Linked DNA regions of Caenorhabditis elegans. The protein of the gene in region 2 interacts with the protein of the main gene of each other region in a pairwise test. Each region holds a gene or a part of one and is shown on either strand. Other genes may lie near its edges.

Region 1 (7,852 bases), on a different chromosome or scaffold from region 2:
CAAACTATTCGAGATTATTTCTAATTTCTAACAAATTTCGGTCAACTTCCGCTAGATAATAGTATCAACCAAGAAAAAAATTATTCCCAGCACGCGGGGTCGAACCCCGGTCTTCTGCGTCCCAGCCCAGCCCGTTGCCGCCTGCGCTACTGCAACCAATTTTTCGAAAAATCCTCGGAAATGAGCCAATATTGGTGTCAAATAAACGAAAATTGTGCGAGAAATTTGAACATGTGCATGGAAATTTGTAAAAATCATGTTTTCAAAAACTGTTCCGCATTTTTCCGAAAAAAAACTGATTTTTTTCAAGTTTCACTAGTTTCCAGCAGGTTATACTCAGTTTCAGCTTGTTAACAGTATCAATCACGCTAAGATAAAGAAAATTCCCACCACGCGGAGTCGAACCCCGGTCTTCTGCGTCCCAGCCCAGCCCGTAACCGACTGCGCTACTGCGACCAATTTTTCAAAAATAAGAGAAAATCTGAATTTAGTCGAAAAAAATCAATAAATAAATAAAACTTCATCCCGGTTTCGCATTAGTTTTTTGAGAGAGAAAAAGAAGGAAAATCATAAAATATCTGGATTCGGAGAAGTAAATGAGGAAAAAAATCAATAATAACAGGTACATATACAAGTTTTAAGAGGAATTATGGGTGTAGAAACAGCGAAAAAAAATAAATAATTTATTTATCTCTGAGCTCCCGGAGCTCCGACCGCTTGGCTCATTCCCTCGCGTTCCTTATTGTCACGTGGCACTTTGATCCATTGTCCCTGAAGATTTTCGCGCCAAATTGTGATCTGCAAAATTGGAAAATGAGCGTTTTTAGGCGTAGGTGCCTGCCTGCCTGCAAACAGAGCTTATCATATGCTTTTTTTTGTAGAAACGGCACTTTTTTAAGAAGATTTGCCTACCTACCTGTAGGCACGGTAGGCACACGTGTAGGCATTAGGCAGGCGGGAACATTTCGTCTGGTTTTTCGTAATTCTAGGTCGAATTTTTCAGAATTTTCGTTGAAATTCAATTAATTCCGGTGATTTGATCGGAAAATTCGAATTTTTCGCCATTTTCAGTAAAATTACTGCAAATTCTGAATTTTTGAGTATTTTTTTTCCATTTATTCAGATTTTTCGTGCCAAAATGCTTTTTTTGCAAGTTTTCGGTAGCTTTTTCTCAAATTTTTCATAAAAATTGAAATTTTCATGTGCTGCTCAAAAATCGATACTTTTCAACCGAAATTCGCCGGTTTTTATGTAAAAAAAATTGATTTTGAAGTGATTTTGGCCAATTTTCCGGTAAAAAAAATTTTTTGTTTTCCCACTTTTTTGCCAGTTCTCAATAGATTTTTTTTTCCAAAATTTTGAATTTTCCAGGTTTTGCTCGAAAATTAATATTTTTAGCATTTTTCGATCAAAATCACCTGAAAAAATCGAATTTCAACGAAAATTCTGAAAAATTCTTCCTAAAATTACGAAAAACCGGGCAAAAAAGATAGAAGTTGTATTAAAACCAAAAAAAAAAAAAAAAAAAAAATCAAAATTTTCCTCACAAAAACCTGCCACCTGCCTCATGCCTACTGCGGCTAGAGGTAGGTAAGATTTTTTTCCGTTTTTTTTAATGCCAAAATGCTTTTTTTTTTCGCTATTTTTTCCAAATTTTTTCGAATTTTCTAGGTTTTGCTCGAAAAATCATAATTTTGAGCTAAAAAATCCAAAATTTCAGCGATTTTTGCTAAAAATGTGACAATTTTCCGTTTTTGAAGCGATGATTTTCGCTGTTTTTGTACACTTTTTTTTTTCAAAAATTGTGCCATTTTTGACGTAAAAAATCCATAATTTTCCCAATTTCGGTGCCAATTTCCACATTATTCCACACAAAAATCCTCGATTCCATACCACATTATCATCGCCAGCAACTGAAAGGAATGATCCACACGGAGAAAATGATGAATGGTACAATGCACACGGAGCCGTCTCCAATAATTTCGCCTTCCACTCTTCAGTTTCAATATTTGAAGTACGGAAAAGTACCAAATTTCCCTCCATTCCACAGCTAACAATTGTATGTTGTCCATTATTTGTTACCGGGCACCATGCGGCTTCACGTACAAAATCTGTGTGTCCGGCTAGGGTTTTCTCGAGAATCCATTCGTTTGTAGCGTCGTCACTGGAGGAAAAAATATTGGTGATTTCGAAGGAAAATTGTCATTAAGAAAATGAATTTTTCTTAGGAAACCCCAATAACACTGCAACTTTTTCCTCACGAGGGACGAGGAAAAGTGGTTTCTAGGCCATGGCCGAGGGGCCGACAAGTTTCAGCGGCCATTTATCTTGCTTTGTTTTCCGCGTGTTTTCTTTTGTTTTTCACAGCTTTTTCCCGTTTTTTCTTATTAAAACTGATAAATAAATATTTTTTGCAGATGCTAAAACAATTTCCAAGTTAAAAAATTATGTATCCAGTGGGCAAGCAGCGGTGAAAGTGGGCAATGTAAAATGATGGATTACGGGAATACAAAACCTAAACTTTTTCTGAAACATGATACATATGCTGCTTAAATGCTGAGACTACCTGATTTTCATAACGAGTCCGCTGAAAAAGTTTTGAGGTTTCCACAATTCAACTTTTTTGGTAAAAAAGTCGAGATTTTCGCACAAAAAATTGAATTTTGAAAACCTCAAAACTTTTTTAACGGTCTCGTTATGAAAATCAGGTAATTTCAGCATCTAAGCATCATATGTATCATGTTTCAGAAAAAGTTTAGGTTTTGTATTCCCGTAATCCATCATTTTACATTGCCCACTTTCACCGCTGCTTGCCCACTGAATACATTTTTTTTTTACTTGGAAATCGTTTTAGCATCTGCAAAAAATATTTATTTATCAGTTTTAATAAGAAAAAACGAAAAAAATCGATGAAAAACAAAAGAAAACAGGCGGAAAACAAAGCAAGATAAATGGCCGCTGAAACTTGTCGGCCCCTCGGCCATGGCCTAGAAACCACTTTTCCTCGTCCCTCGTGAGGAAAAAGTTGCAGTGAGAAACCCCAATAAATTCGACAAAATTCAGTGGGAAATCAGCTTTTGGGCAGCTTCAAAATTGGGATTTTCCAAAGCGAACCCAAATTTCTGCATTATAATGGGGAAATTTTTTTTTTTTTTTCGAATTTTCACCAACAATTTTGTTTGTAGCGCGTCGTCACTGTAAAAAAATGGGTAATTTCGCGGAAAAATTGTCAAAAAATGGATTTTTCAAGAGGAAATTCAGGAAATTCGACAAAAATTTCGAAAGAATATACTTTTTTTCTGATTTTTCAGCAAAAAAGATTAATAAAAATTTCCGATTTTGGGGGTTTTTTGAAATGAAACTGCGAAAAATCTGGAATTTGAGAATTTTTTGCAAAAAAAACAGCTTTTGGGACAAATTTTCAAGTTTAAATTATTTTTTGAGTGATTTTTTCAGTTTTTTTTTAATCAAAAAACCGAAAAATTGGATGTTTCAGGGGGAAAATCCAGGAAATTCGACAAATATCTGTTAAAAAATATCCAAAACCTGGAAATTTTGAATTTAACACGATAATCTGAAATTCGGGTAGAATTCGCTTTTACTTTTACAATTTTTTAGAAAGAAATTTATTAAATGGTCGGATTTTTAGTCTTTTTTGATGGAAAACTGTGAAAAAATGGGTTATTTCACGGAAAAATTGTCAAAAAAAAGGATTTTTCAAAGGAAACTCTAGAAAAATCTGGAACTTTGGCGAAAAATTTCCATTTTTTCTCGTTTTTCGCGTCGTCACTGGCAAAATAATGGGATTTTTCAGGTGAAAATTTAAGAAATTTGAGAATTTTCGGTGAAAAAATACGCTATTGGGTCGAATTTTTAACTTTAACATTGTAAATTTTGAGAATTTCAGAAAAAAAAACAATTTTTTCATTGATTTTTCAGAAGGAAATTTTTTTTAATTCTGGAATTCAGGCTTAGGCTAAGGCTTAGGCCTTAAAAAAAATCCGAATTTAATTTTTATTTTGCGAATTTTTTCATCCCAGAAAAACTGACTTTTTCAGGGGAAAAATCTCAGAAATTCTTGTGATTTTAGCAAAAAATCAGGTAATTTTGAGGGAAAAATTTGAATTTTTCAAAAATTTCCGGTAAGAACTGCACTAATTTGTGATTTTTAAACAAATTTTGGATCAAAAATACAACTTTTTTGGGAAAATTTCATAAAATCTGCCAATTTTGCTGAAAAAAAAGTAAAATTTTACGACTTTTTTTCCGAGAAGTTTTGGCAATTTGAGGCTTAGGCCTAGGCGTAGGCGTAGGCTTAAGCTTAGGCTTAGGCTTACAAAAAATCTGACTTTTGAGAACCTGAGAAAATTGCGGTTTTTGTATTTTCCATCGAAAAAACGTCAAAATTTCACGTTTTTCGGGTCAAAAAAAATCTAAAAAATCTAAAAAATCGATTTTCAGTGCATTTTCTCTACTCACAAAGCCCAAATCTTGACATTTTTATCATTTCCAGCTGAAACAAGACGTTTTTTTGCCGCCGGATCAGCACTTCCAGGTGCCCAACACACTGAATTAACTCCTTGTTCATGACATTTCTGAATTTTCGACGAAATCCATTCGTTGCTCGAATTGTCGTATCGAAGAATACCGATATCACCGTCAGCAGAGGCAGAAGCCAACATTAGGCCATATTGGTGTGGTGCAAAGGCCACACAAGTCGTACTGGCCTCATGAGCGGCCCATTCGTAGGCTTTTTGCCAGCGGCCTTGTTGTTCGTTCCAGATTATCACTTTTCTGGAAAGAAAATCGATTCATTTGGGGGAAAATTGGCTGAAAATCTGTGAAAATTGATGAAAAATGCCTGAAATTAGAGCAAAATGAGCTAAAAATTGCAAAAAACCCGTGAAAAACTACTGAAATTCATGGAAATTCCAGAAAAAAACGTTGGATTGGGGGGTAAATTGGCTCAAAATTCCGAAAAAAAAACTATGAAAATTGAATAAAATCGATAAAAATTACAAAAATCGGGGCAGAAATCGACTAAAATTCGGGAAAAAATTGCAGAAAATCGGTAAAAATTTCATAAAACCCGTTGAAGTTTTTAAAATTTTGGTGGATTTGAGGGAAATTAGGCTTGAAATTCAAAAAAAAACTGTGAAAATTGACCGAAAATACTGATTTTTCTTTAAATAATCCGTGAATTTAAAGGGAAAATAGCGTAAAATCGGTGAAAAATGATCAAACTCATTGAAATTTCAGAAATAGGCTGCATTTTTCAATATTTGTGTCCATTTTCTTCCAAAATCACTCTGTTTAACCAATTTTTGGCAAAAAACCCAAAAAATGAGCTGAAAACCGATTAAAAACAGAGATTTTAGCGTATTTTTATGAAATTCTGATCGAATCTAGCAAATTTTGATCATTTTTCCGTTTTTTTTTCCAAATATTCCGTACTTATCATAGGAAGCGGAGGCAAGAAGTCCTCCATATTTCGGATGAGCCCATGAGACTTTCCAAACGGGACCACTGTGTCCGACAAGCTCCGCCATCGGATATGACTGGCCATTTGGGCGAACCTGTAATATTTTTATATTTTTTTTTGCGTTGAAATTATGAAAATTCTGGGATTTTTGCAGAAAATCCAAGATTTTTCGCCTTTCCTGACCTCAAAAATCTTCACAAGACGGTCAGATCCACACGTGGCGAGTCGGCTTCCGTAGATGTTGAGCTGAGCGTCGTGCTGCAATTTTTCAGAATTTAAAAAAAAAAAATAGATTTTCTTAGCTAAAATTCAGATTTTCCGACTTACAATTGCGTCACGATGTTGTGTATCGATTCTCTGGCGGACCGTGGTCATTTTTCAGCTGAAAATCTAGAAATTTCGAAAAAAATCGCTAAAAATTGAGTGAATTTCGGCAAAAATTGAATTTAAAAATTGCAAGTTGGAACGATCGAGAAACGCGTCAACACGAGAAACGCGCCAGCAAACGATAGCTGGCGTGTTTCTCGTGCGCCAAGGAACGTGGATTTAATCACGAGAAAATAATAATTGATGGAAACCTGGAGAATTCGAATGGGAAATTGTTGATAATTTGATAAAAATAACAATTTCTAGTTCTACTTTTTAAGATTTTAAATCAAAAACAACTCAGGGAACCTTTCAACACAGATTAAAAGATCAAAGTTCTGAAAAACAACTTTCTTAATTATATTGTCCTTGTTTTTTCTTCTGTTTTGATTTTTTCTTCTGATCATCAATATCAACACGCCGTACTTTGAAGTCTGAAAAAAAGATTCAAATGAAAAAAAAACACATTATATTTTGTGCTTAGCCTCCGTGTGTCTTATTGCGGGTCGCGTGACGTCGTCAGCGCAATTTTTACGATCATTTCTTTCTGTCATGATCATCAGTTTGATTTTCTAGCGTGATTTGGAGGCGAAAATCAATAAATTATAATAGTTTTTCGCTTATTCCTGTTTTAAAACATGTTTTCTATATTTTTATTGAGAAACTTGAGATTTTTAAAAAGAAAACTTTAAAACCCGCTTGTATTTTTGCAATTATCTTATTTTTTTCAATTTCTTCGCTGAAATACTTGAAAAATTGCAATTTTTGCTGAAAATAATTCCAAAAAGTGTGCGCGGCAAGTAAAATGCATTGTACGCAATTGCGTATCAATGCATCTAACCCGACGCGCAGTTTCAAGGTTACTGTAGAACATTTTGTTTTTTTTTGTGTTTTCCCCAATTTCCAGCCGAAAAACTCGAATTTTATGTGTTTTCCAACGTTTTTTAAAATGTTTTTTTTTGTAAAAATTTTAGAAAGTCAGCAAAGTTAACGTTTCTATCGAAAAATCCAGTTAAAAATCAAAAAATTATCGATTTTTCGGATTAATTTGGAAATTCAATCGAAAATGAACTATTTGAGGAAATTCTGGCAGTTTTTGCGGAAAAAAATTGAAAATTGACAGAAAAGTCGATATTCTAACAGAGTTTTCACGCAAAATCTAAAAATGTTGAATTATTTTTCGATAGAATTTCGGGGTTTTAAAAATTTTTAGGACAAAAATCAATAATTTCCAGAATTTTTTTGAAAAAAGTTTCGAAAAATAATAGTTTCAAGAAGCATCAAAATCGTAAGTTTCAGTTTTTTTCAAATTTCCGATAAAAATCCCCAAAAAGTAAAAAAAAATTTTTTTTTGAAAAAATCTGTTATTTGTGCCGAAAAATCATTAAAGCAAATATAAGAAAACTATTATTTATCTAAATTCTTATAGAAAATCCAATTTTTTTTATAGAAAAATCAAATTTAAAGAAAAAAAAAATCAATAATTTCCCCCAAAAGAATCCTGCCACCCCAAAAATTATCAACAGAGCACAATTGCATCATATTCCATAAAAAATATCATTTGGCACACTGCCAAGTCTTCATCACACCAACATCTCTGCACTCTCCACATCTCTGAACCCCCTTCTTTCAGTGTCTGCGTCTCCACACCCTCTACACTCTCTCACCCTGGCTGAGGTCCTCTTTCTCTTCAATTCTGCACGTGCGGACTGCCCTTTTTATTGTTTTTCTCCTTTCTGCCACTTGATTTGATAGATAAATTATCAAAAAATCGATAATTTTAAATTTTTTGCGAGAAAGTTGGAAAATTCCAGAAATTTTCCAAAAAAATCCCTGTAAATTTGTTAAAGTACATAGTTTTTCCGAAGAAAATCGACAAATCTCGGAAATTCGAGGTTTTTAACCGAAAAACACTGCAACTTTTTCCTCACGAGGGACGAGGAATAGTGGTAGGGGCCGACAAGTTTCAGCGGTCATTTATCTTGCTTTGTTTTCCGCCTGTTT
Region 2 (7,881 bases):
TAATTCAATAAATTGTGTTAAAAATTAAATCAATTTTCAGCCTTGACCAGCCATTCACCAGCCGATTCTGTGTCAAAAATGCTCAAAAACCATCATCTGCTCAACGTACTCCATTCAGTTTCTATCTTCACATGGTATGGCTTATAATAATTCACTCTTGTTCCTCCTCACTTCAAGAAATGTTTTTTCAGGTTACAAAATCTCCTCCACACGCTGAATTTGTGCACATTGATGAAAATGGATATGCAATTAAGTGCAACGTTCTCCGTCAATCACCCAATCTCTTCCGTGCTATCGCTCAATTTATTCATTTTGTGAAACATGAAAATCATGGATATCTGGATCAGACCTCAATCGGACCATCAGGAATTAACATGACATACGTCCTGGCGTGAAAAATTCAATTCAAGTTTTTATATGATGTTTATTATCGTATCCTTTAACAGGTTTTTATTTTCTCCCGCTTTGTTTTGTTGTTCTTTTGTTACGATCTCTCGACGACCACCCACATGAATCAATTATTTTTTATCTCGCTAACGTTACAAAATTCAATCATTTATGTCTACGAGGAAACCGAGATAATGAGAGAGAGAGAAGGGGAAAGGAAGCAATGAAGCACAGTAAAGATTTGAGAAAGGTTTATGCCAAATAGTTTGGGTATGTGAACAGACGGAGGAATATAAATGAAAAAGAAATGGGGGGAAAAGATGATCTACTGTTTGAGGCTGATAGAAGCATATGATGTTGTTGGGCAGAGGATAAGGACGATGTTCGTACAAAATAATTATATTATACCAGTAGCACTAAAGATCAAAAGGCGCTTCAACGAGACGCGCACGAGAGTGGCGCTAAACGTGCTTACTGCTCAGTCACTTCAGGAAGAACGGTGGTAAAAAAGAGAAAGGATGCGGTGATTCGATGTAGAAAGTGACAGGGAGAATGGGGAGATGAAGTAGTCGGATGATTGTTGAAATCCGAAACAATAAGTTAAACACTGTCTAGATTCAAAACATAAAAGTAAACACTCTGGAACAAAAGATTGGAAAATGCTGAAAAAAAAAATTAGCCCGAAGTGTTTTCTTTTCACCTATCGTAGGCAAGAAACGAGTAAAATTTGATTGAAAAAAGGAAAAACATAAAGATGAATATCGTCAAATTGACAGGAGAACATGTTTAACTCGGGAGATGTGCAAGAGGGCGTTGAAGAGTGACGAGACGGTGATGGAAGTGTTAACAAACAGGAGGGATTCGTGCACTACTGCAAATCCAGCTGAAAGCGTTCAATGTCAGAAATGTCGGTCGTTTCATTGTTTGTTATCACCCCCGATGGACCAGGTCGATTCATGTTGAACTCCTCCTCGTCGTCGTCGTCGCTGCCGCCCGCAGACCTGCTATTGGCACTCCTCTCGCTGCAATTTGCGTTTACATCCGCGTCGGTCCGAGCTTACGAACCTCGCCGATCTACTATCATTTTCGTCACGGTAAACTTCCTGATGCTCATTTCCGTCGAACGGCTCGGGAATCAATCCATCCGGAAACATCTTGCTCAGAAGCTGTAAAAATTATAGAGAAAATATTGAACAGACAATTAATATAAAACCTCAGGTGGACAATCAGATTTTGGCGCTCTTCCTCCAAATGGTAACAAGAACGGATGTTTCAATGCAATTTTGGCCGTAGATCGTTTCTCCTGATCGAAATCAAGCATCGGACGAAGGAAACTTTCAAACTGCTGCGCGTCTTCATGAGACCACTCGTATTTTTGTCTCAAAACCTCGTATAGTGACCATGGTTTAAGTTGGTGAATGTGAAGTAAGTGTCCATTTTTGTGGAAGAACTCTCTCCAATGTTTACCCTTTTTGTAAATTGACGGTGGAATTGCTCCAAGAAGTTCGGAAATGTGCGCAAGATGATCTTCATCGCGTGAATAGTTATCTCCTTGGTGTGGTTCAAACAAATAGTCACCGGTTGCCAATTCAAAAGCCATACACGCGGTACTCCAAATATCAGCTGGAGGTCCGTATCCTGAACCGATCAACACTTCAAGTGCTCTATACTGACGAGTTTGAATATCGTCCGTGTAGTGATGATTCACCCAACACGCGTTTCCGAGATCAGCGATTTTGACGTCGATGTCACAATATGGATCACCAATGTTGGGGCCAACTGGAGGAGCAGGCAGGATACCACCTGGAGGCAACTGGCTCATGGGCGAGCTCAGATATTCGGCGGATGGTGAGGCCAAATCTCCAAACTTGCTCTCCGGATCACTGAATGGAGTCAGCGTGGTTCTATCGAAACGATCAGGGCTCCTGATTTCCACCTGAAAATATAAATGGTTGTGGCTACAAAAATGAAATATATCATACCTTGTTTCTGTTTCCATTTTCATTGACAGTATCTTCCATGGTGACATCTTCCACTTGTGAAGCGTTGAAGTTCTCCAACTCCTGAAAAAATAAAAATTAAATTAATTGATTCAGATTTTTTTCTAAACTGAATTCACAACATGTTTAAGCTTATATATGATAAAAATTAGATACAGCACTGATGTATTTTCTGCAACAAAGACGAAACGACGAAAAAATGCAGACGGCATCCAGGGCGCAGCGGCAAAAAAAACCGAAACTAAATAGTCAGTGAATTTTAAAATAAAGAAACGGAAGGAGAAATGAGGTACGTGTGAATATACAAGCGTCTTCCGGTAATTTTGGTTGCAGAGTGGAAATAAGTGTGTGAATCGAGGAAGAGAGAGTAGAAGGGAACCATCATCATGTCAACACAACCAAACACTCACACCAACATTCGCATTCAGGATCACCTGTGTCAGATGATACGTCTGATTGCAGACGCATCCAACCTGTGGATAGAGAGATGGTGGTGGCGGTGGAACCGTTCTTGGAGACGATGGCGTATTCACACAAGAACTGCCTTGAAGCAGTTGGGGAATCGGACCATTGAAGAGCAAAGATGGAGGACGCATTCGGACACCATTTTGCTATATATCAGTTTTATCGTTTTTGTTTCGTTTTTTAAAAAATTATGATTGATAGAGTATAATCTTGATTTTTTAAAAATTACCAGCGTATTTCCTCTATTATTATTGCACATCGAAACTTTTCCAATGTTTGTCAACTAAGAAAATACTTTTTTATTTCTTTTTCTATCGTTTCAAAATTAAAATGTGAAATGATATCTTTGAAATGAACAGAGATATATTCTTTCAAATTTAAAAATTCAAGTATTGGGGTGCAATACTATTAGAAGAAGAACGGTATAGTGTTCAACTTACCGGTGCATTATTGTATGCCTCCTGCAGCCCATTAGCGTCCATTTTGAGGCCTTCGAGTCCAGCCAATTCCGCTTCCAACTTCTCTCGTTGTTTTTTGGCCTTCTTCTTCATCTTTTTCTTCTTGTTTTTCGTCATATTCTCCTGAGCCATTTTCACCAAATGATCCGGTGCAGTACTGACAGCCGATCCACTCATTTTCATATTCATCTTCCGGGCAACTACAGCATGTTGAGCCATAATCTGTAAAATTTTGAAAAATTAATTCCACAATTAATGGTTTTTAAAAAATACCTTGATCTCTTCTCGGCTCATCGTGATTAGCACATTTTCAGGTTTAATATCAGTATGAATGATGCCGCACTTTTCATGCATATATCCTAACGCCTCCAGAACTTGTCTGCATATTTTCCTAACTTGTTCCAGATGAAGTCCTCGATAATTTGAGCGTATAATCAGCTTTAACAGATTGCACCCAAGAACTTCAAACACCATAGCAACGTGCTGACCATTAATTCCCGTAACAGTGAATTCATCGAGCAATTGAACAACCTTGTGGCATCCGATGTCATTTGGATCAGCACTTCGTACGGATAGCAACAACTGAAATTATTCTCGTTTTATATTAGTCTTAATTTTTTTTTCTCGAGTCTCAGAGAATGTTGCATAAAAATCTATTGTTTCAGCACTACGTTACTTCAAAACTAACCTTAATTTCATCAAGAGCCGCTTCCGTGTAATGCTCCGCTGACTTCACTATTTTCATGGCAACAAATCGTTTGTCTTGAGTGTCCCACGCCAGCCAAACCGTAGAAAAGTGACCCCATCCAAGTTTACGAATCACATGATATCTCGCATTGAATACATCACCAATGTTGACTGGATGATATCCACCTCGTTTGTAATCACGTGGATCTTCTTGTTCTTCATCGTCAGATCCAAGTTGTTCTCCAGGATCCTGAAAATAAATATGTATAAATACAAAAAAATGAAATGCAAAAATCAACTCACCATTGGATCTTGGAATGAATCTGAATGTCCACCACCGCCGCCTCCAGGAGAATCACTTCGTCCGGGGCTCACACTTAAATCGTCCAAACGCTCTTCATTAGCATTGACTTCGGTCCTGAAAAATGTAAATTAAAAGACAGTTTCTGATTGATATTAGTAATACTAATTTAGTTAATGGAAAATAAATGTTACTTTTTGTTATTTCTTGGAATTATAGATGGACGAGGAATAGAAATAGAAGCTGAAGCGCATGCGGTTCCCAGATCATACTCGAACATCTGAATTTCGATATCTTCTGAGTCGTAAGAGGTAGCACTGTCGTCCCCGTCGTCGCCCGTTGAGGAAGACGATGTCGACGAGGAGACTGAAGAATCGATCGTCCCTTCACTCTCTTCACCCTCTTTTGCTGACCGCATTTCCACCGGAAGGTTATCGTATTTGGATGTGTCCTCATCGACAAGAACATCTTTTTCATTTTTATCGTCGTTCGAATGACACGACGCCAAATCTTCAGTTGCTGACTCTTCTGCTTCTTGTGATTCAATAGAGCTTACCGAATCAATTGATTCTTCGGTAGCATCATTCACATGAAAAGAATCATCTTGAGATTCAACGTCCTCTTCATCTGAGGCAGATACGCAAGAGTTCATGTCTTCATCAGAGCATCTTGAACCATCTTGTGATTGTAGCGACTGTTCATCGTCCTCATTCGAATGATCATTCTCATTTACAACACTTTTTTGTTGTACAGTTTCACCCTCTTCGCACAACGTTTCCGGTAGTTTACTGACTTCGGAAATGTTAGAGGTAACCATTAGAGCGTCTGATATATCGAAATTCGACGCGACGCCTCCATTATCTTCCGCACTAGCGAACACTAAATTAACTTCTGTCTCTTCATTTTGTGTACTCGTATTTATTTCTTGGGAAGAGATTTCTTCTTCTTCATTGGTCGAATTTTCTTTTTTATTTCTTTGCTTTACAAAGAAATAAAATCGATTCTGGTTGACCAAATCAACATTTATATGACAGGTTACGTCTGCAGATGATGCCAAAAGCTGTGTACAAATATCAGTTTCAGAATACGATTCGTGGTCATTCAGTTCTTCCGATTCCTCTGAATGAACACGAAAACGGCGGCGTCTCTGAACGGCTTCATCTTCGAATTTATAAAGTCGTTCTCGATGCTGGCTGAAGCCATTGAGCCATCTACAGAATAGAACCACAAACATGAATATGACAGTGGGGAAAACGTCAGTTAAGCTGAAGGAGCCGCCTGCTTCGACATCATTTGTTATACCCGAGTAATCGATAGCTGAGAGCGAATGTACTGCTCGACCGGCCAGCCTGACAGAAGAAAACTGGATTCAAAAGCAGGCGATTTTTTTTGAAATAGCGACCACGTAGAAGCGAGTTGCGACGCTTTGAGAGTGGGAAGGGGGATAAGGAAGATCAGCGGCGCGAGAAGTGTCTCGAGAATATTGGCGGCGGCCAACGAGGCGCGAGGAGCGACTTGAAGAAAACGCGATCGGTGTGAGAAGGAAGAGTGTTCAAGTGATAGTGATGTAATGATTGCGGCGCCCAACAAGAGATAGAGGAAATCCTGGGTCTCTCTTCCTTGTTTCAATCTTCAACTTGTCGGCCAGGTCGCGAAGAGGAGACAGCTGACAGAGAGAAAAGGCCAAGGTGAAGGAATAGAGAAGATAGAAAAGAAGGGACGAATGGATGGATGGGTGGATGGATGACGGACACACGAAGGTGGGATCATTTGAGACGAAGTGAAAAGACAACCAGTTGCTGTCATGAGAAAAGGACGATGCAACGATTACACCAAACAACTTATAATCATTTTGGTCCCGGTTTCAGCGATGTAATTAAAGCATATTAAAAAAAAAAACTCAAAATCTCACCTTTCCACGTGATTTGATCCGTTTGTTGTAACTGTTCCATTTTTCAAATTTGCGTTTTTCTCACCCGCTTGAGGAGATGTAGGCGTGTTTGGTGCTGTGGGCTGAAATATGAAGATTAAAAAAGCTTAATGGCAGAATTCTATTAAACTCACATTCAATCGGCGATATAGCCAATGTATTGAATGCAAAATACTAAGCATGCTCATAAATTTTCACTTTGTTTTGTTTTAAAACTAGTGTAAGAAAAGAAAATTAGTGGTTATCTCTACCCCTGGGTCATTAGCGGCTGCCACTGGCTCATAATGAAGCCGTTCTCATTTTACTTGAGGCAAAGGAGAAATCTAAGTTAAAACTGATGTGAGAATATATTAGTGGAGGGCTCGCATCCAAGAGAGTAAGCTCGGAAGTGCGTGAAATGAAGGGAATGCGACAGAGCTGTTTGAAGTTTTCAAATCTCTAGAGGCCATTAGAAAAAAAGAGTATTCTTTGGGTTCGATTTAGTGTCAGAACAGACTGAGCTTTAATTTTTCGAAAGTGTAAGTGTTTAGAAAAAGGGAAAACTTCTGAACAGAAACCGAAAAATGCTCACCTTTTTCTTATTGGTCTTCTTCTTCCTTTTCTTATTTGGCAGTGGTACTGTGCTGTTTTTTTCTGGTCCGCCCATATTCTACACTTAAACACGGTTCGTTTCACTGAAATTGATACAAATAAATAAAATAGGACTCATCAAAATTCGGGGAAAACAAGAAAACACTTCAGAGGAAAATGTTTTTGAGTTTTTAAAAGTTTGCGGAGGTTAATTGAACAACAAAAATGATGATAAAAAGATTATATCTGCCCGTACAAACATAAAATATAATTCTTGATAAGACCTATGCCAATTTCGAATGATAATAACGCTTTCAACGCGGAGGGCTCAAATTGGCGGCCGTTTTGCGCCAGAAATATCGATCTCGAGTTTGATCTGCAGGTTTGCTTGGGTACGGTGGGTTTGGCTTGCTGCCAAGAAGTGTATCATGCGCCTCCGTCTCTTATTTTCACACGCTCTCTCGCCTGCAATTCTCTATTTACAGTTGGTTTTTAGTTCGTTTTATCAGGAAAAAAGCGCATATTATTGCAAAAGTACATCATTTCTTTGTTTCTACATGTTAAATATTAATAGAGAATTTAAAAATAATGATGAGTGTTTAAAAAAATAATTTTTTTACTTTTCCCTTTTTATTTTATTTATTAATTTTTTATACTTCTATCAAAACTCAATCATTCAATATTCAGAATATACTCATTTTTGTGAAGATGAGCAGTTCGCTGCAATCAAATCGTCAGAGTCTGAATCGAAAAGTGGCCGTTATGGGATATCCTCATGTTGGTGAGCGTTTACGACAACTTTTTTTTGTAGAAAATCAAACATACCGGGAGCAAAATTGAACAAAGCAATGAAAAAATTAAAACAACTTTATTTAAACAAGGACATTCACGTTGAGAAACTTTACAGGAAAATCGGCGTTGGTACTTCGTTTCACACAAAATATTTTCCCTGAAAGGTATGAATCAACAATTGAGGATCAACATTCGAAGCACATAGCAGCGTTTCACAGGGACTATCATTTAAGAGTCACTGGTAAATTTTATCATTTTTTGAGCTTACTGAAAACTGATATTAGATATTTC
Region 3 (4,050 bases), on a different chromosome or scaffold from region 2:
GAAAAAATATTCGTTTAGTGTTCGGTTTTGTGATGTACGTAAATACCAATAGAAAAAAAACAATTTTTAATTCTTTCGCCTTGATCCAAACTTCCTATCAATCTTTATTTTTTAACATAATTATTTTATATGAACTAACTTTTTTTTTCAGCAAAAAAATGTCTGAAAAGCACAGTCTTCTGCAAGTGACTCCAAATCGTGAACTCGTGTTCACTGGCCCATTCAGTGATGTTGTCACATCACACATGACTCTCAAGAACACATCAACCAATCCAGTGTGCTTCAAAGTGAAAACAACGGCTCCAAAGCAATATTGTGTTCGTCCAAATTCTGGTGAGTGATGGATTTATTTGCATTGAAATCAATTTGATATGGAAAAAGTGAAATTAAACGCAAAAAGAAAAATATGATTTGTATTTAGACCTTATCTGTTAGACTGGTTGATTTTTAAAACTGAAGTTTACTTTGACCTTCTGATTTTGATTTTTTAGGCCTCCTGAAATCTGGTGACTCGAAACAAATCACAGTAATGCTTCAACCTCTGGAAGGAATTCCATCTGATGCAGGACGACATAAGTTTATGGTTCAATCGTGTGTGGCGCCTTCGGAAGATCTGCCAGATTTGGAATCGGTCTGGAAAATAATCGATCCAGCGGAGCTGACCTACAGCAAGCTTATGGTCACCTTCGTTGACAAGAGAGATCCAGCGTCTGGAGATGATACAAAAACCTTTGCGGTTAGGAACGAGGATAGTTTTGCTTCTTCTGGACAGGCACAGTGAGTTTTTACTTATAATGGAGGTTAAAAGAAGGTTAACAATTATTGTTTCCTTCATAAACTTCATTCAATAAAAAACTAATATTTGCAGAGAGCTCGGAAGTTCGTACTCTGGAACACCATCGCATGATGGAACCGTTAACTCCCTTCGCAAATCGTTGAAATCGACAGTTGACGAGAAAGAAGAATTGCAAAAGAAAGTACATGGATTGGAACAAGAAATCGAAGTCATGCTCAAGGTAATATCAGAAAAGAAATTTGAAAAAATTAATTACACTTTGGAAAAAAAAATATGTGTTCAATTTTCTACAAAAAATATTTTCAGAAGAACCGCAAGCTTCAACAATCGCATTCTGATGGAGCTCTTGTCGACGGTGCATACCCAACATTGCAAATTTTCCTTATTGCGGTTGCCGCTTTGCTCATCGGGCTTATTGTTGGCCGTCTTTTCTAAATTCTGAATCAATTCTTCCTTCATTTTCACTTTTAAGTAACTAGTGGTACTATCATTCACGTGCTTTTTTGCTGCCACAAACATTAAAACACACAAGCATTGCTCCATTCGGATTTTCATCAAATTTAACCTTCAAATCCTAAATTTTCTAACTTTTTCTCTGCCAAGGGCGAAATTCTGAATATTTCAAAAATCAAAATGTTATTTTCTGCAATGTAAATTGACATATTTAACTTTTCGGTTTTTTGAAATTTTGAATACTTGCCTCTTTAGTGAACGCAGCGCGCAAAAATTTCAAACTTTTTCTCAAACTACTTTCACTTCTTTCCTTTGTTTATTCGTTTTCCGTTTTTCCCGGCGTCTTCTAGACCATCATAGATCCGTCTAGTGACTGCCTATCATCATACCCGGTAGCCATTATCAAGAATTTTATTTATTTATTTTCCATTCTATGGTTCCCCGTTCCCCCAACCTTTTCTCATTTATTTTATGTGTACAACCATTGATTGATATAGGACTCCATGGATTTTAAGAAAGCCCCATGCTCTTTGAAACAACCAATTTAAGTCACATGATTTGTATATGGTACAATAAAATTTGATGTTTATGGTTTCCAATAACTATTTTTATTTTTGAATTTTTTCGCCGTATTATCTCGGAGTATTTACCTGGAAATTTACGCGACTCGACAATAAAATGTCACTCGAGTGATGTTTAAAATTAATCTTTTTTCAGATTTTCCAAAATGGCTGGTAAAAAAGCAGAAAAAGATGATATGGCAACAGTGGAATTCGAATCTTCTGAAGAAGTAAATGTTATTCCAACATTTGACAAAATGGGTTTGCGAGAAGACCTTCTTCGTGGAATTTATGCCTATGGATTCGAAAAACCATCGGCTATTCAACAAAGAGCAGTTCCAGCAATTCTTAAAGCACGTGACGTCATTGCTCAAGCTCAATCTGGAACCGGAAAGACTGCGACTTTTTCAATTTCCGTTCTTCAATCATTGGATACACAAGTTCGAGAGACACAAGCACTTATTCTTTCTCCAACCAGAGAATTGGCTGTCCAGATTCAAAAAGTATGGATATAATAAATACAGAGTTGCAATAAAAAACACATTTTGCAGGTAGTTCTTGCTCTCGGAGACTATATGAATGTTCAATGTCATGCCTGTATCGGAGGAACAAATCTCGGAGAAGACATTCGCAAATTGGATTACGGTCAACACGTGGTTTCTGGTACTCCAGGACGAGTATTTGATATGATTCGCCGTCGTAATCTTCGTACCCGAGCGATCAAGCTTCTGGTTCTTGACGAAGCCGATGAAATGCTGAATAAAGGTTTCAAGGAGCAGTTGTACGATATCTACCGATATCTTCCACCTGGAGCACAAGTCGTACTTCTGTCAGCCACACTGCCTCATGAAATTCTAGAGATGACCAGTAAATTCATGACAGATCCTATCAGAATTCTTGTGAAACGTGATGAACTGACACTTGAAGGAATCAAGCAATTCTTCGTTGCAGTTGACAGAGAAGAATGGAAGTTCGACACTCTTATTGATCTTTATGATACTCTTACCATCACACAGGCTGTACTATTCTGTAATACCCGTAGAAAGGTTGATTGGTTGACGGATAAAATGAAGGAAGCCAACTTCACAGTGTCATCAATGCACGGAGATATGGAACAGAAGGATCGTGATGAAGTTATGAAAGAGTTCAGAGCAGGAACAACGAGAGTGCTCATTTCAACTGATGTTTGGGCGAGAGGATTAGATGTTCCACAAGTCTCGTTGGTAAGATTTTTTTTTAGTTTCTTCTCGATTTGTAATAAATTAAAATGATTAGTTTTGCAAAAAACCAGCAAAAAAAAGTTGTCATGAAATATAGACAATTCAGTAAAAACTTTTTTCAGGTTATCAACTATGATCTTCCAAACAATCGTGAATTATACATTCATCGTATTGGTCGTTCTGGACGTTTCGGACGCAAGGGAGTCGCCATCAACTTTGTGAAGCAAGATGATGTCAGAATTCTGCGAGACATTGAGCAATACTATTCGACACAAATCGACGAAATGCCCATGAATATTGCGGATATCATTTGAAGAAAGATATATTTTCGCTCACCTCATGTTTTAATTTATTTTGTTTTTGTTTTCTTTGTTTTGAAAATCCTTATCAATTATTTCTTTTATTTTAATCCTACAAAGATCTCCTTTGAATCCTTCATGATACTAAGACCCAAATACTATCCAACGGAGATTTTTAAAAATCTGAACAGTAATTTGAATAAATGGAGATCTTAATTTTCTTTTCAATATTTTTATGTAAGCCAGTAGAAACTTCTCTAATATTCAAAAATATCGGAAAATAACCAATTTCTAATTTTCGGCGTGATATTCACGTGAATTTATACTAACAAAAAAAACATTTCAGAAAAAAATCAACTCTACGAAGGCTTCACGTGGAATATCATTGCATTGTGGGTTTTTAAATATTAAATTTTTCTTTTATTATTTTATGTTTGATTTTTAGGAAGTTTCAGCCTCTTTAAATTGAGAATTACTTACTCAGAGACCACTCGCTTTTTGAACACACGATTGGTATTCTAAATTCCTATCTGAAACGGAAATTTTTGAATTCAGACGATGCATCATTTTCCTCTATCTTAGACACAAAAACTCAAATACAACAACCCGCCGTCTCGTAGCTTTTGCCTTTCTCGTCAACTAAAAACCGAACGCACTCGTCTTGTCTCCCACTCTATCGTCATCAAAACGGAGTAAGAAAAGTAACAAGAGACTGTGTTGAA
Region 4 (7,341 bases), on a different chromosome or scaffold from region 2:
AATGGATGTTCAAGTGAAAGAATTGTTGAAAATAATTGAAGAAATAAGAAAACGATATCCAGAAAAAGAGAAAATTACCACCTTGGACATTTTGGAGGTACTTCATATTTAAAATCTAGGTTTTAGATTTTGGTTCTTTCTTTTTTCCAGTATATGCACGAAAATACCGCAAATGACAAACTGAATGAGCGTCGTGATACAATTGCATTTATGCCTCAAACAATGGAAGTTATTAAATTTGCCGATGAGCAAGATTTGGAGGAAAGAAGTTTTTCTCGTCACGAAGATGTTGCTTCACTTGGTGGAAAGGCTTCAACGTATGGTTTCCGTGTGTGAATCACTCAATAATCAAAATAAATTAATTTCCAGAAAACTAGCTTCTGTGGTCGACGTGATGAGCTTCTCACCTGAGGAAAATATGGAGAAAAGATTTAAAAAGGAAATTCGAAAGTACACGACGGAGATCAAATATGTTAATAAAAGGGGACAAATCACGAATAAAGTGGAACTTTGAGTTAATCGTTTGCAAAATTTTATCTATAAATAAATCCATAATCGTTTTACATCTGATCACCGAGTTAGAATATCAAAGCTCATGCTCACTTCTTGCTGCTCAATTTATGAGAATAAGTACACACATTTCAATAGCACAAGAAAAATTGGGAGAAGTTGAAGGGGCGGGTGGAGCAAGAAAAAATGATTGGGGAAATGAGCACAGAGAAACTGAGAGTGGAGCTGGATGCAGGAAAAACCACACAAGATGGAGTTCAAAACTGAACTAATTTAGGCAATTATACTCGTATTACACACAAATTCAAATCTATTTAGCACAAATATGGTGGACACTCAAACTGCTTTTCTGACACCGAACTTCTGCTTATACATCCATTCACCGTCCTTGTCAGTTGTGTCGAAAAGAAGCGGCGTCCACTTTTCACCACTTTCGAGGCGTTCCTGAAAGAATTAGAATGTTATGTTGTCGAAACTGAGAATATAATAAATACCTTCGCTTCTTTCCGTTGTCTCTGCTCGATGAATCTTTTCGATGTAGTGGCAGTTTGAATACGATTTCTGAGCAAAGCTGCTGTCACATGTCTCCACAATCTGAAAAAAATGTCAGAACTTTTCAAATTTTCTGTCAGGATGAAAATGTTTTCTTCTAACCTTCTGCTCTCCCGTTTCCCTTGTTGCATAACAGGAACACATTCTTTCTTAACTTCAGGTTTTGCTTTGACATCAACAAATACATATTCTTCTCCATTTTGTGTTTTTGCATACATTGTTCCATTCCATTCTCCACGAAGCGTCAATACCGGTTTCTTGGCACCATCACGACAAATTGATCCTTGAATTCGATGCGGTTTACCACCAAAGAACGGTTTGGTGAGGAACTCAATATCAGCACGATATCCAGTCTTTTCACATTCAACCTTCACTTTTCCACCAAATTCGAACCATGGAGTACTCATAATGGATCGTCCGTATCCAGATGGGAATGTGATTGTGTATTGCTCATCACCATAGTTATGAAGTGTTAGAATACCTTCTCCAATGCTTGCAACACCAATTGAGAGACCAAGGAAGGATGATTTTGTGTAGATATGAGCATTAAATGAAATCCCTTCGGATGGCATTTCAGCGTAGAATGCCGAAATTGGTGGATGATGACTGACCTGAAATATTTAATTGCGTGAATTACAGGAATTTTCTAAAATATCTTGATTCAAGACAAGGGCACGGTTTTTCGATTTTCCCTGAAATCGAAAAATCAAAAATTCTGCGGTTTTCCAATATTTCGAGAAAAAAAATCGATTTTTCGATAAAATATGTTGCAATTTTGGTCATTTTTCTCTTTTTAAATAGAAGACATTTTTTATAAATGTTTTTTCATCAACATAAAACAAAATGATTTTTAAAAAATGGAATATTATTGTTCATTTTCTGAATATTTTTTTTTCAATTTTTTGATTTTTCGACTTTTGATTTCATCCTCTATTCAAAATGAAAATAATTAATACCTGCTCAGCAATGAAAGTCAATTGTTTTTCATCAGAACCTGGCCATGGACCACTTTCAGTCTTTTTTCCGCTCAATGACGAGTTGGGGACACTGTATCTACAACGGAAAGTTTCTCCGAGAATAGCATTGTATGGTTTCTTGGCAACTCCACTTTTTCGTGCAGCATAGAAAGAGTTGAGATAGTAACGAACGACTGCGCTGAAAAATTATAAATAAGTTTCCTGATTGGAGACCAATTTTCTAGATTTTTGAATAATTTCCGAAACTTACATCATTCTCTTTTCTGCCGAATCATTTCCATTGGTTGCAATGAAAAGATCCGGATGGGCGAAGAAATCGGCATACATTTCAAGAAGTGAACGACGTTCCAAAATAAATGTCGGAAGAGTTACTTTCGTCAAATCCATTCCAACGCTCACTTGACTCAGAAGATGCATAAGAACGGATCCATGATCCTGTTGAACATTTCCAATGTCGTGCTCTTCAGCATTGTTATAAATCTCATCGAAATCTTCATTCGAGTCACCAAAATCGTATCCATCTTCATCCTGAAAACAATTTATTTCAATTTTAAATAATAAAATAACGATTTAGCTCGTATTCTTCATTTTTATAAACCCACCGATGACATAATTGCAGCGTCACTAGTTCTATTAGAATCTCCTGATTCTTGTCCACTCTTCTCACTTTCAAAATTATCCAAGTCGATCAGTTCCTCGTCAGCGTCGTAGAACTCTTCTTCGTCACTGCTGCAAGAAAAAAAAGTTGACAATAAGGACATTGGCACTAGTTGGAGCGAAACACATATCCGGGCGCTCCCGAAAAAACAAAAATTCAATTTGGTTCAAATAGCATTCTCAGATACGAGTGAATTGGAGGAACACGTTAGAAATTTTTAAAATATCAAAAAACCCACCTCGCATACGACTCGGCCCGTTGTGGTTTCAAATGATCGAGATGTTGAATTCCAGAAATCGGTTTGTCAGTGCTTGTCTGTGTTGAATCAGAAACTGTTCCAGGAGTTTCACGTGACGACGGCTGTATACGTTTTTTCGTTATGCACATTTGCTTTTGAACTTTTTGATAAGAACGAGAAAGAGTCACTCTTTGTTCAAAACTACTAGGAAATGAATATTTTTCACATTTACTTTTTTTTTTAATTAATTATAATTTTCACGTTTGCCTATATATTAAAATTAGTCAAACTAGTCATCAAAACGTGTATATTTTAATAAATTTTCAGTTTTAAGAAATAAATTTTGGAGATATTTAAATATATTCCCCATACCTCGTCAATCTTCTATATGAGAACTTAATAATTTTTAAAACTTATGAAAAAAATATATCAAACCCAATTCAAACTTCGAAATAATCCTGACACGAATATTTCCTAGCCGTGACTGTCAGTGGGGTTTCTTGTTCATTCTGCGTCTCTTTAGATCTATGTGCTCTGTAGCATCAGTCTCACATCATAACTACAAAAAAGGAAAACGTGGGGGGAGAAAAAGACCTCCGCTTTGAAAAAAGAAGGGGGAACAATTTGAGAAATTTTTGAATGTGAAACAATAAAACAAAAACCAATAAAAACGTTTTTAGAAGCGAATGGTGCGGAAATTGTTTTAATCTTATAGTAATCGTGAATTTTGAATTTCCTATCTCCAAAATTTCAGCGTAAAAAACAAAAAAAGACTATTTTCAAAATAATGTGATTTCTAAAGTCAAACTATATCATCACGTATATAGAATATCACGTGATGAAATGACGAAAATTTTTAGAAAAAGGTGTAATTCGACATGGTGGTTGGACCCCAGTCAAGGGTAATAAATCAGAAATTCTCGATTGTTGCAAAAGAATAAGAAATCAAAAGAACGTTCTTGTTATCATAATTTGTAGTCGAGAACGAATTCTGATTGTTGATTTTTCTTAATAAATATCAATTAATTTTTAATGGAAAAAAAAAACTTCGAGACATAGATATTTGTTAGTAATGGAAAAAATTGAAAATATTAATGATTACACATACTTCATAACACATTAAAATTGTCTATGTCACTTGACAATGCGCATTGTGATCAATTTGATCTGTGATTTCCCAATAAAAGATATTTGACAATTTAGTGATGAGATAGTCGCAGACTTTGAAATTATGTAATTTATTTAATTTAAACTTATTTTAATTTATAAATTTAAAAAAAAACAAGGTATTTCATCCGTACGCAACTTTCTCCTGAGAAATGCTAATGATTAGTTTAAAAAAATTGAGTTGAAATTAGAAATGACGTCATTCAATACTCTGTCAAGTGATTAATTGTCAATAACAGCCAACTTTTGGTTACTTTGAGTCAACTTTTTTGAAAAAGTGATAAATGACTGAAGAATAAGAGTTCATTTGGAATTTAAAATAAGTTTTTATTTTTAAAAGTGCAAAAATAAGTTTACAATTTTTAATTTAAACTGAAATTAGAAATAACCTCGTTTTTCTATGCTACTTTTACCGATTACAGTTTTTTTTTTGAAAAGGTTTAATTTTTGAAATAGAATTCCAATATTTCAAAAAATTACCTTTTCATTCAAATCCGGATGTGTGAACATCAACTTTTCAGTCTTCATATTCGGATCGAGACGAGCTTGAGCCATCTGAAATTTGAGATTTTGTTAGAAGCTCTTTTTTGTATGACGTGATGCTTATGTGATTTTTAATTTTTTAGTTAAGTTGAGTATTCTCAGGAAAAAAGTAGGAAAATCTTCTCCTTTTATGGCTTTTTTTTCGAAAAATCTAAATTTCCGGCATTATGCTCACAATATTCGTAACTTCGCAAGATTTTGAAAGATCTTCGTAAAGACGCACGCATTATTTAAATGGAAGCTTTGCAAAAAAAAGTTTTGGCTTATTTTTTTTCAAGGACATTATATTCTTCTATCGAATTTTGTCGGTTTCTTCTTACTTTTCCTGTTAAAACTTGTTTTGAATTGAACTTTTTCCAATAAAACGCTGTTTTGGGGGGATTTAAAGTAATGAATAGAAACCGACAAGATGCAGGGAACTTAAATGAGAAAGCAGTTTCAATTTTTTTTTAACTGCCATAAATTTTTTGCGACGGCATCTCAAAATATTGGGAGTTTACAATACTATTATCAGATATACAATTTTAACATTAAATGAAAAATTACAAACCTGAAGATAGATAATAGCATGTTTCACATTATTCGTCAAATTATTGCTCGCCGCAATCAATGAATCAATTGTTTTCTTTTCATCTACAGCTCGTTCTCCACTTTTCAATTGTTCCAGTGCTTTCACTTTTTCCACTAGAGTTTTTAAAAATTCATTTGCTTCTTCAGTTCGTTGTTTAAAATGTTGAGATGGAGTAGTACCGACGGATACATTTTTTGCGTATCCACTACTCGCACGAATCGAATTTTCAAGAATTCGAACCCATTGATTTCGTTCTCGAAGATCTCGGCCTTGCATGTGAAACGTTTTTCCTTCGACTGTGATTGTGAATAAACTATTATTCTCACCATCTATACCCACCACAGCACCGGTAAGACGAATTTGACCTGGAAATATATTTTTAAAAGATTTTTCGAAGAAACCAGTATCTCTTTACCTCTTTGTTGCCCTTTGAGCATTTTTTCGCGTGATGTGTAGTATAAAAGAGTGTCATTTTCTATTTTAAACCACCGATATTGCCATCCATGAACCATATTGGTCCATTTTGAGAGCGGACCTTCCATTTGTGGATGCTGAAATTAATTGATTTTCAATTTTTTTTTAGCACGTTGAAATTTGAAAGAAAAATATGACGATTCTAATAAAATCTCAAAGCAATTTTGAAGTTTTCAGAAAATTTTAAAATCTTGGTTGCATTTTGTCACTTTTTCGCGCTGTTTACATTCATTAATTATTTTTGTGAAAAACAAAATATCAAGTTCCGCATTAAACTAATTTCAAATTTCATCGATTACTAAAATCAAAAAAACAAGAAATCTGAATTTATCCGAATAAAAAATGGAGCGATGTATTTGAGAGGCAACAAGAAATTGAAAGATAGTGTGTCGAGAAGAGAGACAGTGAGAAAAAGAGGGTAAATGGGCGAATACGCGCGGGAGGTGTGAGGGTTCGTGTTTGGCCTCCAATACCGATACGCACATTTTGTTGAGAGAAATGCAAGAGAAATGGGAAGAAAAAGGAGAACATAGATAAGAAATGACACGTGGCATGGTTCTTCTGCCTTGATCTATTGGATTATTTTATAGGCGAAACATTCTCGGAAACAACAAAACTCGACCTGATTTAGCTTAACGAAACAAAATATTCTGGAAAATTTACAAAGTGCTGTGATAAAAATATATTCCAAAAATTAATTGCTTACTGATTTTTAAATATTAATATTTTGAGGATAAATTTTCTGGAATTTTGTTTTTAAAAAAAGTATCCTTTCAAATAAGATGTCAAAAACTAAATATTTGAAAAACACTATTAGGTGATTGACAACGTATCCAGAGAGATTATTTTATATTAAAAGGAGTATAAGCTCAGCATATGGACTCAGCGCTCTTTGAAACTGAAATAGACACATGACACGGATTTTCTTTTGATTGCAGAAATTTTTTAACTGTTCAATATAAAGTATAAAAGATAGTTCTAATGAGCATTTCGTGAAGGGGATCGATTGACAAGTTATGTTTTGTCTAGTTCGTTTCGCAATAAAATTTGCTTCAACCTAAATAATTTCGATGGATTATTTTTTGAATAAAAATATAAATGTCATTTTCCGAAGGAACGAACATGAATCTGAACGAGAAGAGCAAGAGAACGAAGAGAATATTGGCGCGCCGGCCGGGCACCAATACTGACACGTTTTTTGTGCGAAGCGGGGCGATATTTATGCTTATGCAAATATTTTTTGGGTCTTCTTGTGGTTTTTCTTGGTTTTTGAGGCTTTGCGCGCATTTTTTCGTCAATGCCGATTTGTAGTAGAAGTAAGGAAAGTTTTGAAAAGTTCTTAAAATTTTTAATAGGTTCATGAGCCCTGAAAACGCAATATGAAAAAAATTATATACGATTTTTACAGCGATTTGAGAAGATTATTTAACAAGAAATAATGAAAAAATTGAATAAATGATAAGCATTGCTCAGGAAATTGATTAATACATAAGAAAATGTTTGAAAAACAAAAAAACAATACCGTATGAAGTTTAAAGGCACATGACCGCTTGGCATTAGGTCTCACATCGATTAGAATAAATTTTTAAAGGCGCACGACTTTTATTGTTGGGTCTTACAGCGAAACTGTGTATTTTTTTAAAACTTTTTG

What was found.
Region 1: the proteins of spk-1 (region 2) and npp-20 interact in a two-hybrid assay, tested with the Caenorhabditis elegans proteins (one large-scale study listed by BioGRID).
Region 3: the proteins of spk-1 (region 2) and F33D11.10 interact in a two-hybrid assay, tested with the Caenorhabditis elegans proteins (one large-scale study listed by BioGRID).
Region 4: the proteins of spk-1 (region 2) and obr-4 interact in a two-hybrid assay, tested with the Caenorhabditis elegans proteins (one large-scale study listed by BioGRID).

What each region holds. Positions count from the first base shown.
Region 1 is NC_003282.8:1,490,151-1,498,002, forward strand, and holds npp-20 (Protein SEC13 homolog), read right to left. Parts: upstream 5,873-7,852; 5' UTR 5,858-5,872; coding exon 5,810-5,857; intron 5,741-5,809; coding exon 5,666-5,740; intron 5,577-5,665; coding exon 5,455-5,576; intron 4,795-5,454; coding exon 4,480-4,794; intron 2,165-4,479; coding exon 1,894-2,164; intron 799-1,893; coding exon 688-798; 3' UTR 503-687; downstream 1-502.
Region 2 is NC_003281.10:9,455,635-9,463,515, reverse strand, and holds spk-1 (Serine/threonine-protein kinase spk-1), read right to left. Parts: upstream 5,989-7,881; 5' UTR 5,533-5,988; coding exon 4,493-5,532; intron 4,416-4,492; coding exon 4,301-4,415; intron 4,248-4,300; coding exon 3,999-4,247; intron 3,893-3,998; coding exon 3,584-3,892; intron 3,533-3,583; coding exon 3,293-3,532; intron 2,999-3,292; coding exon of another isoform or gene 2,822-2,998; intron 2,451-2,821; coding exon 2,370-2,450; intron 2,324-2,369; coding exon 1,601-2,323; intron 1,554-1,600; coding exon 1,453-1,553; intron 1,410-1,452; coding exon 1,256-1,409; 3' UTR 509-1,255; downstream 1-508. Other genes in the region: B0464.6 (uncharacterized protein), read left to right, coding at 41-134, 192-395; rheb-1 (GTP-binding protein Rheb homolog 1), read left to right, coding at 7,507-7,579, 7,706-7,831. UniProt on the Caenorhabditis elegans protein: Required for embryogenesis and germline development in both adult hermaphrodites and males. SR-protein kinase (SRPK) that binds directly to and phosphorylates the RS domain of rsp-3/CeSF2 in vitro.
Region 3 is NC_003279.8:5,866,056-5,870,105, reverse strand, and holds F33D11.10 (RNA helicase), read left to right. Parts: upstream 1-1,966; 5' UTR 1,967-1,976; coding exon 1,977-2,312; intron 2,313-2,360; coding exon 2,361-3,032; intron 3,033-3,151; coding exon 3,152-3,343; 3' UTR 3,344-3,544; downstream 3,545-4,050. Other genes in the region: vpr-1 (Major sperm protein), read left to right, coding at 159-333, 492-777, 869-1,016, 1,103-1,231.
Region 4 is NC_003279.8:5,827,817-5,835,157, reverse strand, and holds obr-4 (Oxysterol-binding protein), read right to left. Parts: upstream 5,768-7,341; 5' UTR 5,759-5,767; coding exon 5,632-5,758; intron 5,582-5,631; coding exon 5,196-5,581; intron 4,658-5,195; coding exon 4,583-4,657; intron 3,058-4,582; coding exon 2,936-3,057; intron 2,769-2,935; coding exon 2,642-2,768; intron 2,568-2,641; coding exon 2,290-2,567; intron 2,218-2,289; coding exon 2,019-2,217; intron 1,674-2,018; coding exon 1,165-1,673; intron 1,105-1,164; coding exon 1,005-1,104; intron 955-1,004; coding exon 847-954; 3' UTR 521-846; downstream 1-520. Other genes in the region: twk-47 (Potassium channel domain-containing protein), read left to right, coding at 1-97, 151-317, 370-514.